Linked DNA regions of Mus musculus: region 2 is reported to be linked to region 1. Evidence: microRNA targets listed by miRTarBase, many of them from high-throughput screens and not tested one by one. Region 1 holds a microRNA gene; the other region holds the end of a gene's coding sequence.
Evidence for each region. The annotated mature microRNA mmu-miR-1224-5p reads GUGAGGACUGGGGAGGUGGAG and lies in region 1 at 7,075-7,095, opposite strand. An mRNA with a match to its seed (bases 2 to 7 or 8) in the 3' UTR can be bound and repressed. Matches are read on the target gene's strand: a 7mer-m8 pairs with bases 2 to 8, a 7mer-A1 pairs with bases 2 to 7 and ends in A, and an 8mer does both.

Region 2: the mRNA of Smg1 is a reported target of mmu-miR-1224-5p. Seed matches in the 3' UTR shown: 7mer-A1 at 3,220-3,226.

Annotation. Positions count from the first base shown.
Region 1 is chr16:20,601,481-20,611,546 of GRCm38, reverse strand. Mir1224 (microRNA 1224) reads right to left here and starts at 7,095; the gene lies at 7,011-7,095. It overlaps Vwa5b2 (von Willebrand factor A domain containing 5B2), which reads right to left. Exons shown (of 20, transcript NM_001384105.1): 15 at 9,810-9,999; 16 at 9,358-9,711; 17 at 7,562-7,699; 18 at 7,401-7,481; 19 at 7,096-7,301; 20 at 6,170-7,010. The coding sequence ends at 6,462. Alg3 (asparagine-linked glycosylation 3 (alpha-1,3-mannosyltransferase)) reads left to right here and starts at 786. Exons shown (of 9, transcript NM_145939.3): 1 at 786-1,004; 2 at 2,461-2,560; 3 at 2,658-2,805; 4 at 2,901-3,061; 5 at 3,663-3,783; 6 at 4,582-4,787; 7 at 4,945-5,021; 8 at 5,541-5,685; 9 at 5,830-6,089. The coding sequence starts at 809. The coding sequence ends at 5,992.
Region 2 is chr7:118,126,278-118,136,343 of GRCm38, reverse strand. Smg1 (SMG1 homolog, phosphatidylinositol 3-kinase-related kinase (C. elegans)) reads left to right here. Exons shown (of 63, transcript NM_001031814.1): 63 at 726-5,032. The coding sequence ends at 803. Arl6ip1 (ADP-ribosylation factor-like 6 interacting protein 1) reads left to right here and starts at 6,719. Exons shown (of 6, transcript NM_019419.2): 1 at 6,719-6,875; 2 at 9,077-9,210; 3 at 9,829-9,948. The coding sequence starts at 6,840.

The DNA.
Region 1 (10,066 bases):
CTCCGCCCTCCCCTGCAGCTGCTCCACACAAACACGTGGAACTTCCGTCACCTTCTAAGCTCTTTTTTGAAAATCGTCCGGCTGGGAAGCTGAATTACTTGGTGTCATATTAACGAACTGCCCGTCTAAACTCGACCACATCTCCTCGTGGCAAACCGGATCTGGTCACTAGACGTGACCAGGCTCATTACTGCATCCTCTCGTGTTCGGTTTTCAATAACCCTTTCCAATAAGAGGCGTGATTAATTAAAGATTCCCTTCTTCCCAAGATTTTTGGAGCACCTTCGGGTACTTGGGAAGGCGGGAGGAATACTGAAAGGAGCTTTCCCCTCTACGTGAACACAACTACTCTGGGCATAGGCAGAGTGGAAAGCTGGGCTTGGAGAAGAGAACAGAACTGTTGTTTTGTTTTCTGGGCAAACACTGATATACTCGTGTTTATGTGCTCTGAAAGGGACATACACCGAGAAGTATATGTATATTTATATTACAACATCGTGTAGTCTTTCAAAGGAGATGCGTTCTAAGGACTAGCTATCTTATCCTTATTCCGGTGCACATATTCACATTAGAAATATCTCTCACCACTGTGTATAATAAGCACTAAATATGTAGCCAATGAATCATTTTGGCCTAGAAACTCCAGCTCCCTGAGTCTAATTAACAGACTGATTTTTAGTAAATAAGACTTCTGGTTACTCGGCTCAGCATTTAGTTTGAGAAGACGCCCAGAGCGTGAGACCGGAACCTAGTGTGTGAGAGTTGGTTTTCCCGGGTGGTGGAAGCAAAAGAGTGGTGCACTGTCAAGATGGCTGCTGGGCTGCGGAAACGCGGCCAGCCGGCTTCTGTCGGCCAGCCGGCAGGAATCTGGAAACAATGGCTACAGCGTGCCTGGCAAGAACGCTACCTACTGCTGCGGGAACCGCGCTACACATTGCTGGTGGCCTCCTGCCTCTGCATAGCAGAGGTGGGCATCACCTTCTGGGTCATTCACAGGGTGGCATGTGAGTTCACTGAAGGGGAGAGAACCGGAGGGAGGGAGGGATACCCAAACTAGATTACAGAGCTTTCATTCACCGATCAAACCCATATCCTTTACCTGACCCAAGCCCATTTTCCAGAACAGCGATCATAATCTCTCTCCCATATGGGAGGGAGGTTACCCAGAGATTACCTCCTGCGTTTAACATTCAGCCTGCTAAGAAAGCATAAGCAGCCACGAAGTTCTGGCCAGAATTAATGTGCTGTTGCTGCTGCTGTTCCTGATGCTTGTCTGTAGCCTTAGACAGTCACTTCCCACCGCAGATCTGATTTTTCATGCTTTTAATTCTTAGGTCTTGAAAGTCCTTTTAAAGAGTGCATTTTGTGACCTTTTAAGTCCATTAGGTACTGGTGTCTTCCAGGATCAGTCTTTTTTTAAAAAAACAAAACAAAACAGAGTCTCACTAAGTAGCCCTGATTGGCTTTGCTATGTAGACCACAGTGGCCTCAAGCTCACAGAAATCTGCCTTCTTCTGGCTCCTGAGTGTTGTTGAGATTAAAGGTGGACACCATCACAACTGGCTTATAAAGACCCTGTTCTTAAAATGAGAGTGAGGAACATTCCAGAAAGAGAATCACCATTAACCTCTAACCTCCACACTCATACTCACATGCATGTACACTCACTTATGTGTGAATCCACACATGTGCATATGAACACACACAAGACAGAGAAAGAGAACAAGACTGTTTCAAGAACTAAGAAGCTGGGTGGTGGTGGCACACGCCTTTATCCCAGCACTTGGGAGACAGAAGCAAGTGGATCTCTGTGAGTTTAAGGCCAGCCTAGTCTACAGAGTTCCAGGACAGCCAGATAGCCAGAGCTATACAGAGAAACCCTGTCTTGTAAACACACACACACACACACACACACACACACACACAAACTGAAAAGGAGAGAAGTACTACTTGAAGAATACAGGAAAGAGTAAATTTGGAGTAGGAAGAAAGATCATAAAATCAGTTTTACACATTTGAGTTTAAGACACCCACATTCATGGGCCTAAGGAGATAGCTTAGCACGTGGTATTTACCATGCAAATGTGAGACCCATAGTTCACATTCCTAGCATTAGGCATAAATGCCAGGCAGGCATGGTGACCCATCTATGATCACGGCACTGGAGAGGCAGGACAAGGGATCCTTGAAGCAAACTGACTAGCTAGACTCTGTTATATAAATGACAGAGGAAGACACCAGTGTCAACTCCTGACCTTCATATGCATGCACACATAACACACAGACGAAATATATGGGTTCACCCAGAGAATGCCGTAGGTGTGGTTACATCAGGGACGATAATGGGAGAAACCTGGGAATGAGGTAGAATCTCTGGGCTTTGGTGGTCTGAAGGCATGGGGTTTAGAAGTAGGCAAGTTCTGGACTCAGAAGGAACGAGACCATGTTATCTTCTTCCAGACACAGAGATTGACTGGAAGGCCTACATGGCCCAGGTGGAGGGTTTCATCAATGGCACATATGACTACACACAGCTGCAGGGTGACACCGGACCTCTTGTGTGAGTGAGGATAGGAAGTCTGAAGGCATTGTGAAGGGCTGGGTGGGTACCAGGCTGATAGTCCTGCCCTAGGCTCATATTTCCTTTCATCTTCCAGCTACCCAGCTGGGTTTTTGTACATCTTTACGGGGCTATTCTATGCTACTGACCGGGGCACTGATATCCCTATGGCCCAGAACATCTTTGCTGTACTCTACCTTGTCACCTTGGTGCTTGTTTTCTTGATATACCACCAGACCTCCAAGGTGAGTTGATGCCACAGGACCAACTGGCCCTGGCCTGAAGTGGGTGGTGGGGGTGGCTCAGGTTTGGGGAGCTGACGTTGGTGCCCACCCTTTAGGTACCTCCCTTCGTCTTTTTCTTCATGTGTTGTGCCTCTTACCGTGTCCATTCCATCTTTGTACTGCGGCTCTTCAATGACCCAGTAGCTATGGCCTTGCTCTTCCTGAGCATCAACCTTTTCCTGGCACAGTGCTGGAGCTGGGGCTGCTGCTGTTTCAGGTCAGAGCCTTTTCCTTCTGCCCCCCCACCCCCCAGTCACATTTCCATATCTTCCCAATGTTCTGCAGGAGAGGACATCAAGAGTGGTTAGATAGCCAGGCAGTGGTGGCGCATGCCTTTAATCCCAGCACTTGGGAGGCAGAGGCAAGCGGATTTCTGAGTTCAAGGCCAGCCTTGTCTACAGAGTGAGTTCCAGGACAGCCAGGGCTACACAGAGAAACCCTGACTTAGGGGGAAAAAAGAGAGTGGTTAGTTACTGTAGGTCACTCTGGCCGCCCTGAACAAGTCAAGGGTCTGTAGAAAGTTCCTTTCCTCATGCTTTCTTCCTATGTTTATCCCAGATGGCATCCATGTTGGGGTTGGCCCTTAAGTATGTCAATCTGTACATGTCCATTTAGTCTGGACAGAGGGACAGGTATTATTCCCTTCTTCCCAGCCTCCTCTCAGGCCATCTGTGCTCCTCTAACAGTTCTGGATAGAGACCACATCCTGGCACTTAATAACCTGAGGAGAAGATCTGTGGGGGAGGTGGGGTGTCGTTCCAAGGGGCACCCAGTCCTGGAGCTGACCCTGGACTTTTCCTGTCCTTTGTCCATTTCAGCCTGGCTGTCTCGGTGAAGATGAATGTGCTGCTCTTCGCCCCGGGATTGCTATTCCTTCTTCTTACTCAGTTTGGCTTCCGTGGTGCCCTCCCCAAGCTGGCCATCTGTGCTGCTCTTCAGGTAACTGTCTATCCTGCCCTTACTGGTGAGAAAGGGCCTCCCCTTACCGAAGAGACGGATCTCCTTAAATCTCTTAGGGCTTTCTCAAAAGCCAACAGACAAGAGTTTGGAGTTGTTGCTTTCACTGGGCAGCCACTTTAGATCCCACGGCTACTGAACTTGGCAGGCCTCTCAGAGCCTTCCTAAAGCTGCTTGCTTAAGACCTGATCAACTAGCTAGGCATGGTGGTACACATCTTTAACCCTAGCACTTGGGAGGTCTCTGAGTTCAGGGCACCCTGGTCTACATAACAAATGCCAGGCCAGCCAGGACTACATAGTGAGACTCTCTCTCTAAATACCTCCTTCCCCCTTCAAACACACACACACAATCAGGTGAAAATTTTTTCAAGATTTTTTTAAAGGTTTGTTTGTTTGTTTGTTTGTTTATGTGAATGAGAGCTCAATTTGCATGTGTGCCTGCATGACAGAAAAAGATCAGACCCCATTACAGATAGCCATGAGCTACCATGTGGTTGCTGGGGGTTAAACTCAGCACCTCCGGAAGAGCAACGAATGCTCTTAACAACTGAGCCGCCCACGATTTGGCGAACTCTTGAGAAAGGCAGTGTGATCAACCCCCTCCTGTGCCTCTGTGGTGTCAGGCTCTAGCAGGGGGTGAGAGTGGGGAGGCTTTCCGGCTACTCCTTGTGGAAATAAAGGAGCTTTTGAGGCTTCCTCTCTCACTATGCTCTCCTAAGTGACTACCCTGAAGGCTGTGGCAAGCCTAAGCAGCTCTGCTGGCTTCACCCATTCCCAGGTGGTGCTGGGATTGCCCTTCCTGCTGGAGAACCCCATTGGCTACCTATCCCGCTCCTTTGACCTTGGTCGTCAGTTTCTTTTCCAATGGACAGTAAACTGGCGCTTCCTGCCTGAAACCATCTTCCTGCATCGTGCCTTCCATCTAGCCCTGTTGGCTGCCCACCTTAGCCTCCTCTTGCTGTTTGCCCTCTGTAGGTGGCACAGGTAAGAAACAGGGTTAATATCATGGGAAGGTTCATGGGACGGAGTGGAGAGCTCAGCTCTTCGGAGCTGCTTGGAGGAAGTGTTAAGTTCATGGTGGCTAATCTAGGATTTGGCACACAACGGGGCCTTGATAAATGTCCGAATGACTTCTCTTCAGAACAGGGGAAAGTATTCTGGCACTGCTGAAGGATCCTTCCAAAAGGAAAGTTCCACCCCAAGCCCTCACACCTAACCATATCCTTTAAATCACGGAAAGACAAGTTTTGATCTCTCCAAGTGCAGATAGAGTCTTAGTCTGTTGGCCTGAGATAGCAAGCTACCACAGGAAGAGGCCCGAGCCCAGTCATAGGTCCTGTCCTCTGCAGCAAACACTGCACTGAGCACCCTACACATCTCAGCCCAGCTTAACCGTAAGTCCAGCATTGTAAAACCGTGCACTCTTGGTATCGTCCTAAGAGTCCACATTCCCTCCCATGCAAAGTCCACCTGAGTCAGGGGAAGTACGCATATTAATTTTACAGAAGGAAGGATTAAGGTTAGAATGTAAGGGATTCAGACTCCTCAGGCTTTACAGTCTCATGCATCCCTCTCTCCCTACTAAACCGAGGACCAGATCCAGAGAGGCTAGAAAGCTTATCTGAAGCGTGCATGGAAGGCAGAATAGGGTGCTCTTACCCCAGAACTTTAAACCCTTACCCCCACCCCACCCCTACTGCCCTCCATTTCTACCCAAAGCCTTAACCATCACATCACAGATTGTTTCCATCCTCTTCACCTCCAACTTCATTGGCATCTGCTTTAGCCGCTCGCTCCACTACCAGTTTTATGTCTGGTATTTCCACACACTGCCCTACCTCCTGTGGGCCATGCCTGCACGCTGGCTCACACACCTGCTCAGGTACTAGCTGGGACAACCTGGAAGGGTTGGAGAAGGGCTCGGGGTCTCCTCACAGCTGAAACCACAGAAGGGCATGGGGTGGATGGGTGGATGGCGTAGGGCGTGCTGACCTTGAAATGGCTGGGACCCGTTTCTCATTCCCAGGTTGCTGGTGCTGGGACTCATTGAGCTCTCCTGGAATACGTACCCATCCACGTCCTTCAGCTCTGCCGCCCTCCACCTGTGCCACGCTGTCGTCCTGCTGCAGCTCTGGCTGTCCCCCGAGTCCTTCCCTAAGAGCATTCAGCCAAGCAGGAAAACTCACTGAAACCCACCCCTTCCTTCTAGGACGTGCTCAGCATCATGGGTGGAACGGACTCTGTGTTCTTAGAATAAACCTTGCCAAGTCCACCTTTGTGCAGCATACATAAAGTTAGTGGTTGCTCGTGCCTACACCAAGCTATGAAGTGCATCTTCCCAACATGGAAACGAACAACTCATCAGGCAGTCTTAAGAGGCACTTTATTGCATAGGATTTGGGACCGTAGCTCTCTCCTCTTCCATTATCCTATAGAGAGCTCAGAGCACATAGGAGGGGGTATGGAGTGGGAGGAGAGAGAAGAGAGCACAGGCAGGCACTTTCTGTGGTGACAAGAATGTTGGGAGGGGTGTGTGTGTGTGTGTATGTGAAGCAATGGAGGACGGCAGACACCAACTTATTCTTTCCCAGCACCAAGAGACTGGCCCTGGGTGGCAGTGACTGTGTTGGGGGTCGCTAGCCAGAGCTGCAAGCAGCCTTACACATTCGAAGGGCTGTAACACAGCAAGTGTAGCTGCAGATTCTGGTCCCAGTGTCGCAGTAACAGAAAGAGCCCCCGGGCAGCAGCTTTAAGAGCAGTCAGATCAAGTCCGTCTGGCAGGTGTTGGGCTCTCAGCCAGCAATCAGCTTTGGAAGCTGTCAGTTCCCACTCGCCAAAGGCAGCTGCACAGCGGTGTTCCAGCCACGCCAGGGCCACAGCTGTGGCCCAAGTGCGCCCACGAAGATCAGAGCTGTCCTGCCTTTCCATTCCTTCTGAGGCCTCAGTATCTGAGCCCCTCCCACTGTCTACCTGGCCTGGACCCTCAGAACCTGAGCTGGGGGACTGGCTGCAGGAGGCTGTGGCACTGTCACCTTGGCCAATACCAGGGCTCAGAAATGCCCAAGGAGATGATGCTGAGGTGGGGCTGAGGCTGGCACGGTGTGCGGCAAAGGGCGAGGCTCGACACAGGCGTTCTTGAGGAATGCACACAGCAGCACAGAAGGGTTCATCCAGGCGGAAGGAGCCTGGTGCCTCTTGCAGTCGTACCTGAGGAGAGAAGAGGTGGGGGGAGAGGGAGCTGAGACAGAGCTCTGGCTCTAATGATGCTACCCTCCACCTCCCCAGTCCTCACCAGAGGCAGGTAGTCATGGTTGCTGCCGTCATTGCTGTTCTCATGAGTCTGGCCCTTATTGGAGCTGCAGAGTCTTCGATGACGACCCAGGCTGAGCCTGGAAGAGGCTGGAGGCTGGTGGGGCAAGCCATGATGATCTCCAGTAGGAGATATGGGCTCCCCCAATGCTGACTTGGAGTTGTCATTTAGGTCCAGGTCCCAGGCACCTGCAGAACAGCCTCCCTGATGTCCTACAGTAGGGTCACCCAGTACCAGCAAGTGGTCCAAAGCCCATCTGTGCCCAATCCACTGCATTTGAGCCCTACCTTTAGAGTGGACTGCTGTGGACAGAGGAGCGGCAGCTAGCTGGTCTTGAGAGGCAGACATGCCTGAGAGCTCAGCTGGATCTGTAAGAGTAGAGTCAGTCCCACTGGCTTGCCAGTGAGGTGAGTGTCACACCTTAGAGGTCATCAGAGAAGGACCATACCTGAACTCCACACCTGCAGGGCTCCAGGCAATACCTCCCTAGTGGTAGCATCTACAGCAACAGGGCAGGTAAAACAGGATGGGGCAGAGCTGACCTTGCTTGTCTGAATGGCTCTGAGCCAGGACCTTCTGACTCTGCCTGTAAATCAAAGCAGTATGGAGCTCAACTCTCACTATCTATAGAAAGCTGCATAAAAAATGCTGGAAAATGTGGTTCCCTTAATAAGCAGAGTGAAGGGTGTCTTGGTCTCTGTTCCCTGCCATTGGATTACCAGGTTAGTCCTGCTGGGACCAGATATCTCAGGGTGGAGTGATACCCAAGGAGGGCTTCCCCTTCAGACAAGTCCTCAGAGAAGGGGAGGGGGTGATGAGGGAGGGGTGGGACTGGGAAGATAGGGTGGGCTGTAAGCACTGGGATGTAAATTAAACAAACAAAATGCTGTAAAGCCAAACATGGTGGCTTAAATCCCAGCACTTCAGAGGCCAAAGCAGGCCAGTATCTGTGAGTTCCAAGCCAGCCAGGACTACATGATACCCTGTCTAAAAAAAAAAAAATACTAGAATGATCCCCACAGCTTCCCCTGTCCCCTATAAACATGGTAGATAGCCATGTTTGGTCCTGAACCAAATCTTCCCAACTTTGACAAGAAATAGACTGAACTCTCAGCCTACAGTAGAACCAGAAGCCCCCTAGAAACCCAGAAATTTGGTGGTCTGGAACGATCCTCCTGCCTCTGCTACCACAGTGTTGAGATTATGGGTATGCACCATCACACCCATGCCTAGCTTGCTGTCTGTCTTTTCTCTTTCTCTCTCTCTCTCTCTCTCTCTCTCTCTCTCTCTCTCTCTCTCTCTCTCTTTCTTTTTTCTTTTTTTTTTTTTTTTGACTTAAATCTGGGAAGTGGGTCCGGCACAGGCAAACTTTAGAGTACCCAAGGGTAGTGTGTGGCCCCTCCACAGGACTTTATTTTGACAGGGTCACACCATAGTTACATATAACCTAGATTGGCCCAGAACTCTCAGACTTATTGCATAATAGATGCTTAGTTAAAGCTGTGAGTTTTATGCATGTGCCGCCACAGCCAGCACCATACACACTGCCTACCACTCATTTCAGCACTATCCAGAACTTCCTGCAGTTAGAAAAATGTTTTGTCTGCATCATGCACATGTGACTGTTTTCTTTTCTTTTTCTTTCTTTCTCGCCTCCACCCCTTTTGGTTTTTCGAGACAGGGTTTCTCTGTATAGCCCTGGCTGTCCTGGAACTCACTCTGTAGACCAGGCTGGCCTTGAACTCAGAAATCTGCCTGCCTCTGCCTCCCCAGTGCTGGGATTAAAGACGTGTGCCACCACTGCCCGGTTTTGTATCTTATAATACACCTTTATTTATATTTCCTTTATATTCTTTTATCATTTTTTTTTATGTGTGGGGATATTTTGCCTGCATGTATGTCTTTGTACTATATATGTGACTGGTACCCACAGAGGCCAGAAGAGGGTGTTAGATCCCCTGGAATTGGAGTTACAGATGGTTGTGAACCACCATGTGGGTACTGGGAATTGAACCTGGGTCCTCTAGAACAGTCAGTGCTCTTAACCACTGAGCCATCTCTCCAGCCTTGGTTTCCTTTGTTTTCACTCTTTCTCATTTCTCTGCTAAGTTTCTTACTTTGTATTATGAATCACCTCAAATCCTTTGTGACAAAGTAAGGAACAGGCTGATTAACACAGATATGTACCTTCACCGTGTTCTGTTTAAAGCCTTTGTACCTGGGGTGTGTCGGTTAGAAACTTACCCTGCTCAGCCCTGGTTTCAGCTCTTCCACGGAGAGCCAGCTGTTCATTGTCCTGGACCACAGAGGCTGCTGTCAGCCGGTGGAGTGCCTGATCCCACGCAGCTTCTCTCATCGGAAGTGATTCAGGCTGGGAGCCATCCCCAGGACCCCAGAGTTCTTCCAGCCCAACACCCACCTCCCAGCACATTGGCTGTTCCCCACACAGGGCCCGGATCACCACGTGGCAACGTGGAGCCTGAGGAGGCAGACATTCTGCTGGAGGAGCTGATTCCGCACTGGACGGCACAGGCTTGAATAAGAAAGATGGTTCCATCAACATATCCCAGTCCAAGGGGGCTGGGGAGAGCAGGTTTCCTGGGGAGAGATGTCAGGGGTATAGGCAACATGGTGAACTGTGCTCCATTTTCCCACATCTTTGGTGTCAGAAAACCAGCGTCCCATCCAACCCTTACCTGAATCATCGAGGCCCTGACCCAGCTGTTGTCCTGGCTCAGGGCCTAATCCATCTGGTATTGCATCTAGAGAGGGGTGCCGGGCTCTTCCGGGGACTGGGTTTGCCCGGCCTGAGGGAGATGAGAGACTTCGACCAGCCAGAGCTGCTCTTTGCCGACGGCCCAGCACCTCAGCGCTCATGGCTCCCACCTGCGTGTGAGAGATGGGAGGTCACTGGTCAAGGAATGCTGTTTCTAGCCACCACAGACTTTCAGCT
Region 2 (10,066 bases), not on the chromosome of region 1:
GATGCTCACTACTTGACTCGTCACTACTTAGTCTTTCCTCTTAGGCAATCTCCTGCATAGTCGTTTAAGCTATATGACTGCTCTAATCATCCTCCACACTCAGGCTAACACTCGCCTTACCGTTCTGAAAGTATCAGATGAAGGGAGGGTGACAATTTTTGAAGGTGTAGACTCTTTAGTTCCATGAATACCTGTGTGTTTTTGTCCAAAGTTTTCTTCTGTTAATGAATCTGTACCACACCCCATCACCCCAGGGTGCTGGAGATTGACCGTTGGTCCTTACAGGTGCTAGGCAGATACTTTACTGCTGAGCCATTCAACTGTTAGTTGTTTATTTTGAAAAATGTTTAAAAGTTACAGAAAAGTTGTAGAGATGCCATACTTTTTACCTAGACTAATCACTTCTTACCCACATTTGCATCATTTATTTTGTTCTAAGCAGAACCTTTCATGGTATTACCACCCCTGGGTGGGGGTGGGGGTGGGGGTGGAGAGGTTCTTACCATTCCTAAAGGTCTAAGGAACTTTCCTAAGATCACTGAGCTTGTTGCATTCTCTGTGGTCATGAAGAGTGCTACATCTTTCTACCAGAGTGTAACCTCTCCTCCTTTGGGTGAGTCATTTGACTAGAAACTTGCTCTTGAGACAACTCATGCAATTGATATATGAAATGTGTCCTTTCTGGTTCTTAGTGATTTTCAATTCTGTCCTGCCTATGTTCACAGGTTGACTATGTCATTAAGGAAGCAACTAATCTAGATAACTTGGCTCAGCTGTATGAAGGTTGGACAGCTTGGGTGTGAATGGCAAGACAGTAGATGAGTCTGGTTAAGCGAGGTCAGACATCCACCAGAATCAACTCAGCCTCAGGCATCCAAAGCCACATCACAGTCGGTGGTGATGCATCTGGGGGCTTACTCTGAGGAAACCTAGGAAATCTCGGTGTACTAGGAAGTGAATCCTGCAGGACAGCTGCACTCAGGGATACGCCCAACACCATGGCCAGGGTCAAAGGTGAAGAAAGCAAGCTCACTGCCTGCACACGGAGATTGTCTTTCTGCCACAGAACAGCTGCAAACGTGTCAGGAGGTTAGCTGAGAAAGAAATCGGGCTGCTGCGGAGCACAGAGTGACTTGGAACTCCATTCCACCTGACCCTGTGTGTACAATCCAGGAAAACAAACCCCGCTCAGAAACAAGAGAAAATTGGGGCCGCGAAGAACTCACAGCCACGGAAGAGTTGTTGCATTCAGATTCTTGAGAAACATTTGTTGCTCGGCAACAGTACTGGTTGGGTTGACCAGTTAAGTACCAAAAGGCTATGCTGTATGAATTTCAGAAATGGACTGAAAAAATGGAGAGCAGTGTAATAGACACACACTACATCGGAAGAACTGACTTCTGAAACGAAGAGAAAAGCACCTATGGATCCCACTCCTTCCCATCGCTTACCTGTTCCCCAGCTCCCCGTTGACCCACCCTGGTAGATTAGCCAGCTGTCAGACTCACTTTTATTTCAATCCTTACACTTCATAAACTTTTGTCTCCACGTTGTTACCATATTTGGAGACAGAAACAGGAGTTTCTCCAAATCCAATGAAAACATGGAAAATTCAAGGATTGTTTAAAGGTCTGTGATCATCACATACAAGATGTAACTCTGGTTATTTCAGTCATATCTGTGACTCTATCATGTACAGTTTCCTGAATTGTCACTGTGCATCCAAACGTAATGAGTCTAACAGACACTGATTTCATGTGCACTCCCCTCTGCTTACAATGTGCATTTTTTGGAGGTCATTCAAATTTTCCCTCTTCTGTGATTGCTGTAGTTTCTTTCATAGAAAGTAGCTGATCTGATGTAATCTTTTACCTTTTAAACAACCAGGATAGAGAACCTATTGGAGTTTGCATTGTTGATGACAGGTTCACAATAAAGTGACGTTCTGGTGGAGGTAGAGTGAAATGTTTTTTAATTCAGTTTTCTCATTTGATACTTTTAATTTACAAAGTAATTTTGTTTTATGTTTTAAAGTGTAAATTAAAAATGCTTTAGTTTACCTGGCATTTGGGTATGCTCAGTAATGCCTGCCAGCAGCACCTTTAATTTCAGCTGGTGGCCTGTGATGGGTTCTGTTTACCTTTTGCAACATTTTATAGCTTGTTTAGTGACTAGTGTGTAGTGAGTCACGATCAAGGCATCCTTCAGCTTAGCATTTTCAGTACTCACTGCTGATCCTTGGTAGAAGTGCAGACTAGAATAGAGCTAAAAATCACGTATCAACACAGAATAGCACATGGTATTTTGAGTCTTTTTATCCCCCCCCCCCCCCCTGCATTTTAGCAACTAGTGTGGCGGCCACTTAATTTGCCAGCCTCTCCAAGCCTGAAAAGGTCCAGGTGTCTAAGCTCTTCTCTGACTGCAACGAGTTGAATTCTAATCCTCACAGGATGGATGCCAGTGTCGGCACTTTCTTAATTATGAGTATTGAAAGGTGCTGTTTTCAGTCTCCACATGTCTGCTGACAAGTTAAAGAATCTAGCATATCGCATTTGGTTTTACTTGTTGATTTTGAGCCTTATTGTCACAAAACAGCCTAGCTGGAATATTGATGCCATACTATATTTTGCATGCTATTTTCTTCCCTAGAGGCATTGAGGGCAATTGCACTTTGGCTCTCTCAAGATGTGTCATTTTCAGACATTCTTCATGTCAGAAGAGCTTTTGTTGTAAGGAGAAAACCAGCTCAGACTTTTGTCCCTGTAGGTGATGGTAGTGGTCAGAAATGGCTTTTGCTTTGGTAATAAGTGAATTTTATTCCCCAAGAGTCTCAGGCATCAGAAGTACTTGGCATCTTAATCCAAGCAAAAATAAGACAGCTTAAAAAACAACCAAAAAAAATGTGCCTCTGGTGAATTATCCATCCTTTTTTTAAAATGTTAAACTGGTCTTTGAGAAAAGAATAGTGCAGATAAGAGCAGCCAAGGACTTCAAAGCTTGTTGATCACTGCACTCTGGATAAAACCCTTGGCTTCCTGTTCAAATAGCCTTTCCAGGTTTAACTTCTTTAAGGAGCCTCAAGTGAAAAAAACAAAAACAAAACAAAAAACCCAGGGCCACTGGGGGAATGTTTTATGAAATCATGTAGAGTGCTGTAGTTTTGAAGTCATCCGTTTTTTGATGACAAAGTACCTGTGGAAAACCAGGGATATTTTTTTTTCCTCAACTTCTTCTCTTTACTCCCTACCCCTCTCCTCCCTAATTCTGTCTTCCTTCTCTCCACTCTTTTAAGATTCAGAGGGTACAGAACAACCTCTATTATTTCAGAGTACCCTTGAGAATTGAAATGTATTTCGATTAGTTGTCTTTAATTAGCTAGCTAGAGTCAGTTGATATCTCTACCAAGCTGAAGCCTAGTACCTACGAAGCTATTTCTTTACCAAAGTCTCTTGCTTCTGCTTATGGTCGTGAGCTGATCACGCAGTTTGCTAGATGATTTGACACTGGTGGTGAGTTCTTTTGAGGCGTGAGATTTCTATGTGAAACTGATAGGTCTTGATCTGCTTTCTTAGATCACTGATTCAGAGCTCAAAGCCCAGGTTCAGGGTAAGAATTTGTAATACAGAAGAAGAAAGACTCCCTTCACTTTGCCCTTAACACTTGCCTCTGTTATCTAAGCTTCGTTAATAGATTTCTTAATATCATCCAATGTTTGGTGTTATCTGCATTGTTTTTTTTTTTAAATTGTGGTTGTTCTGATGTGTGAAATTTAAGGAAAGAGCCATTTAATAAATGCCAAGCAGGGCAATGCAGCCAAATATTAGAGTTGATGTGCAGTCTTAGGTCCTTTTTAATCTGGGGTATTACAGGCAGTACTTTAAATCAGAGTCTTCCTGGCCTTTTTCCCTCCACCTTTTTGTAGTTACTCGGGGGCTTACTTGTGCAGTACTAAAATCAAAGGAGCTGGTTCTTCTTTTCTCCCAATCTTTTCTTAGTAATGAACACACCTACAACTAGCCTGCCACTCCCAATCACACACAGCAGATGTCAGTGCTGTGCTAATATTAGCTGCATTTCCTGCAGGGCAGGGATGCGACCTTGCACATGCTAGGCAAGCTCTCTACCCTGAGCTACGTACATCCTAGCCCTTAGAACTACCACCCTGAAGCATCTTTGTTTCCTGTGTTCAGACGCAGACGAAGACCAACATTGTTTTATATGTTGAATTTATAAAATGCTAGTAATTTAGAACCCTCCCCCCAAATCAAGGAGGCAAAAAATAACGCACTAGTCACTGAAGTTCATCCTCAGTTACCTCGATAGGGTAGGTAGATTCCTAATAGTGCTGGTGAGCATCACAATGCTGTGCAAAGATTCAAGAGGAGGCAGTCACTGTACTTTGCCTGCTTTTGGGCCTAGATAACGTCACTGTCTACAAAAAGCTAACTGCTTAGGTTTGAAAAGGCAACCATGTAGAGAAAACTTGACAATTGGGGCTCATTGGGAAGTTCTAGTGCTAATGTTAAAAACTCAAATCAGCTGGCTATTTGAAGATGGCAAAGAATATAGTTCTGAAATTTTATTTTTCCACAACAGGGTGATTGGCAGTGGTTGTTCTCCCTTTTTCTGACAGTGTGGTTCAGCTCCTGTTTCAGATTCTGTGTCATTTTTCAATTTACAAGTCACTTAAGTTTCTACCTGGAATGTCAGGTGGCAATGACATCACATTTTGTGTTTTTTTTTTTTTTAAACTCTTATTTAAGAGTAAGTTGAGTTGAACTGAATCTTCCTTGTCTTAGTAACATTGTACAAATAGTGGCTTATTTTTAAGTTGTAATGCCTCCTGATGGATATAATTTTGTGCTTGTATTTAAGATTAAAAGTTGAATAAATAACACCAGCTTCCTGAAAATGTCCATAATGCATCATTTGAAAAACAAAAACACCTGCCTACTTTACATTAACATGGTAAAGATTGTATGAAATACCTGTTTTTCAAAAAAATAAAAATAAAGGTTCAAGTCTTAAAAAGATAACAGTATCTAAGCTCTGAATTTATTGAAGTAGATCCCAGAAAGTTTGTTTTGCAATAGTTTTGTGGCTTTTTTTTTTCATATTATCTCTCCAAATTAAAAAAATTTCTTAAAAAATGTTTTACTCCCTTTTGAACAGCGAGTTAATTATTTCAGTAGGAAAGTTCTTAGATAAGAATCGACACCTTCAATCCCAGGGGAGGCAAGGATAGGTGGAATTTCTAGGCGAATCTGGTTTATAAAGCAAGTTTCAGGACAGCCAGGATTACACAGAAAATGCATGAAGCTTAATTTTAGCAATATTTAAAACAAAACTGCAGAGCCTTAATTGTGAGTGAAAGCTCTGAAAGAAGAAGAGTATTTGCAAAGATCTTCTTCATTTGCAGTGCCAAAGTTCTGAGGAAGATTTGTGTTACGAGCTTCATCTTCTGACACATTTCAAAAGGTCACTTTGTGGTAGAAAAAGAGGTGTTTGTAACCTCTGAGCCATTTGGAAGGTTAGTGAGAGCTGGATTGGGACCTGGGACTGGCCTAAACTTAAATTTTACTTTGGGAACACCGACTAAACTAAGCTTTCTGGGGCAGTAGCCAAGTTGCCAAGGAAAAACTTATTACTCTGCCCTCTCTTAGCAAAGTGACTGCTCCTGGTACCACCAAGATGGGCACCTCATTGCTTGGTAGCAGCTGTTTGGGTCCTTTTGTTCTCAATACTGAGGAGAAGGAGGGAATTCCAGGCTTTACAATTTTTGACATGATTTCTGTATCAACCGAAGTCATAATATCCCCCCCCCGCCCCGCCCACACACAATGAGCGTCCTTCCTGGTCAAAACTGTTGTCTGTACCTTCTAGTACTTTCCACAAGTTCTATGACAAATTGTATGCCCCTTTGACAGAGCCACCATAGGCCAGGAAGGGACCAGGCATATTTAGGAGCACTATGTGATCTCTCACATTTCTCTTTAACCTCCAAGGCCTTTAAAGAACCTGGGAATTAAGGAACGAAGTGTTTTTAAAAATAATTTAAAATTAGTTGAAGGTCGTATTTAGCCTGGCTTCCCCATACATCCATTAATCTATCAGTCTGAAGCCCTCCAACATCCGAATTGCTCCTCTACTCATCCATCCCTCCGAATGAAGCGCTCCCCTAGCTACCTGAAGTACTCATAGATTATCAAGTGAAGCACCCCGCAAATGATTCCCCCAAAAACTGGCTGCAAATGAAGCCCTTTAAGAGTTTGTGCATCTTCCATGTTCTCCAAAGGCCAGAGCTGGGGAGAAGGCACAGACAGCGCTCACTTGGGGCAGCCAATACTTCAGTCAGCAGGTGCCACAGCAACCTAAAGCGTCCTTGCCCTTCCAGCCTCCGCATAGGATGCCATTGCGCATCCCCTGCGCAGCTGAGCGGACAGGCGCCTGAGCGGTTTTGATTTCCAGCAGAAGAGCTAGGGACTAGAGAGGCCCCAGGATTTAGGAAGATCTGGGTGAGAGACTAGGTACGGCGGTTGAACCGCTTCCTTCCGCTCCGCCTCTCGAGGGCCACACCCCTGCACTCTGATTGGTCAGAGTCTTTCAGTTTCGCTCTCCTTTGACCTGGATTTCAAGTCATGCGCTAGCTGCCGGTTGGCCCGACTTCCCAGAAGCCGGAGTGCGGTCTACCCAATGAGGAGCGAGTTTCGCGAGGGCTGTCGGGAAAGGCAGCTAGCCTATATAAGCAGACTGCGGGGCGTTCCCCCGCGCTCGGGTTGCCTTGCTGGTGTTGGGGGGATAGTGTGTGTTCGCTCGTTGATAACCGCGAGTCTGGAACGATGGCGGAGGGGGATAACCGCAGCAGCAACCTGCTGGTGAGTTGCGGTGGTCAGTCTGTCCCCGGAGTTTCCGGATGGGCCTCCTGGCCTCGGTGGACTACCAGGGACAGCCAGGCCTTATCTCCACGGTGGAGGTCGCTGCTGGCGATCCCCAACGTCCCCCGGAATCCTGCACCATAAGGCTTGGGCCGTGCGTGAGGAAGTGTGAGAAGGGGGCTGTGGCAAGAAGGAACCTGGGTAACAGGTTGGGGCACTCGGCCGCCAGGGGCCTTGTCTAGCGCTCCGGCTCAGGCCGGAGACCTACCTGTTTTGCCCTTTGATCTTAATCTCATGTTCCGTAGATTATTTTTAATCATGATTCTTTTTCTCCTAAAACTTGGCGCAAGGGTGGAGGGTCAAAGGGCTGCTACAGAGAATTAGTTTATCGCTGACACAGAATTTGTTGGAGCTGGCTGGTTGGAGTTCACCGCAGGAAGCTGAAAACGGGTTCTGCGGAAAGGACAGTGGGGGATCCTGGCACTTGTCTGGGAACTGGCGAGGGACTCACGGGACTGGATGCAACTTTAAAAATGATTTAGCACGGATTTGACGGAGCTACACGAGATGATGGTATTAGAAGAGGGCGCGTTTGCTTCATTACAGGTCTTTGTTTTTGGTTAGGTCTTTGTTTTTGGTTTTTAAGGCTAGGTTTTCGTGTAGCTTGACGAGGCTAGCCTTGTATTTGTCATCCTCCTGTGCTGGGATTACAGTTGCGCATCACCAGGCCCTGCTAGTTTCAAATTTTTAACTGCATCACCCACCTAGGCAAGAACGAAAGATCTTTTTTTTTTTTTTTCTGTATTGTCATTCCCCAGAAAAGGCAGGCCATATCAGAAATGAAAAAAGCAATCAGCTTTTAATGCCTGCCTTTTTAACTGCTAAGTGCCGACAAGATTCTTCGGGACAGTTTTGATTAGTGCAAGATTTTCAGTTTGTATTTGTGTTTAGAGGTGCATTCCCTGTATCCTTAAATTCCCTACACACACACACACACACACACACACACACACAGTACCATACAATAGAGATGCTTACCCTGTACCCTTAAACTCCTCCTACACAATACCAGCAAACAATTCAATAAGAGGATTAATTGCTGTACAAGGAAACTATCATGGGAGAGGGCCTGATCACTACTATTTCCATCATTTTAAGGAGAGCAAGTCCATTAGTCTTGGATTTCCTGGATTTAAATATATTAACCCCTTTATGTCTCAGTCGCCTTATCTTAAAGTAGAGGTTGTGAGAATACCTTTTCCAGTTTTTTTGGAGCGTCAATTGAAGTATAACATGTAAAATGTTTAGGATTTCTAGTATGGGGAGATGTCAAAAGTACTTAGTCACATATCTCATCTTTATTAAAATTAGCCTGAACTGTTCTATATTTGCATATTCCTTTGTGAAGAGTTGATAGTGTCAGTTGGGCATTGTGTGTATGTAGTTCCTGGATGTTGAATCCAGAGTTCTGCACAAACAGGTTCTAAATACCTTCCGTTACCAAAGTCCCTGATAGGTTCAGGTCACAGTAGCCCATGGTAAAGGTGTGCTTTTGGCTAGTTGTCACATATGCAGAAAAATTTTGAGATTTAATTGAAATTCTATCATTAATGATGAGGAGCCATTAAGTGCTGAGCTCACATAGTTTGGTTGAAAGAGTTTTCTTTAATTCCACAGTGACTGCCAACATCAGAGTCATTCCATTATACAAAGCTATTTTAGAGATTTATGTACTTAGTGTTAAGGGAAAGGTTCTCCTGATGGATTTAGAAGGACTTCAATCAATAAAACGGCCAATCGACAGATCAATGCCAACCACCTGAAATGGGCAAACAGAATATTCAATCTAGTAATATTCTGAGCACTGCCTCTTGGCTCTGTGGCTGCATTTGGGGATATTAGTTTCCCATATTAAGCTCACTTTCATGAATATTGAAATAAATTGTGAAATCTTGGGAATATTATTATACATCATGGACATATGGCCCAGTGCTAAAATGACCATTAAAGCCTAGGCTTTTTCCTACCCATGGATTTTCATATTTGGTGCCAAAATTGCAGGTTTTCATGACTCACCTTGTTTAAGATAACAGTTTTGTAAAAGGCATTTTACGTGTTTTTGATGCCTGAGAAAGTACTCTCTGAGCCACCAAAGTGTTGAGATTGGCAAAGTAACAGTCTTAACTGTTGATCATGTGTAGGCCGTGGAGACTGCAAGTCTTGAAGAGCAGCTGCAAGGCTGGGGAGAGGTGATGCTGATGGCTGACAAAGTCCTTCGATGGGAAAGAGCCTGGTTTCCACCTGCCATCATGGGTGTGGTTTCCCTGCTGTTCCTGTAAGTGAGATTCTATTGCTAATGCTCAGAGGGTTCATAGCCTGTGCTTAGAGAAGCTTTTGTAATACATAATCCAAAAGGAATGCCTTTATTGCAAGCAGCTTGCCCTCTTTCTAGATTTGTAGTCCTTATGTAAAGTTGTAACTTGATGCAGTTGAGTAAATCCCGGACACGCAAACTCTTGTGTTTCAGCACTCTTGCTTTATTATATTCCTTCTAGTAAATTTTGAGGACCCAGCTGGGCGTGGTGGCGCACGCCTTTAATCCCAGCACTGGGGAGGCAGAGGCAGGCAGATTTCTGAGTTCGAGGCCAGCCTGGGCTGCAGAATGAGTTCCAGGACAGCCAGGGCTAACTGAGAAACCCTGTCTCGAAAAAACCCCCAGGAAAAAAAATATTGAGGACTCCAGAGGTTTTGAGTACTGCTGTTTACATTAACCGCTATGGCTGTGACAACATCACGCCATGGTGCCCCTGGAACGCCTCTGTGAGGAAGTTAGAAAGGGAGCAGCCCCGGCTCTGAGAGTCGAGGGGAGGGAGGGAGGGAATAGCTCTGACTGGGAATAGTGACTGACGGCTGCTCTTCTCTAACCTTGGTTAATTTTCTCTGTTTTTAATAGGATTATCTATTATCTCGATCCATCTGTGCTGTCTGGTGTTTCCTGCTTTGTTATGTTTTTGTGCCTGGCTGACTACCTTGTTCCCATTCTAGCACCAAGAATTTTTGGCTCTAATAAATGGTAGGTGGCTCTGCATGATAAGTGTGCTGTGGTTAAATGAAGACTCTTGTCTGCCCGTCAGATGTCTGTCTGCTGGAGTTAGAGTCATTGCTCTTATGTGAAGAATTTCATACCTGAC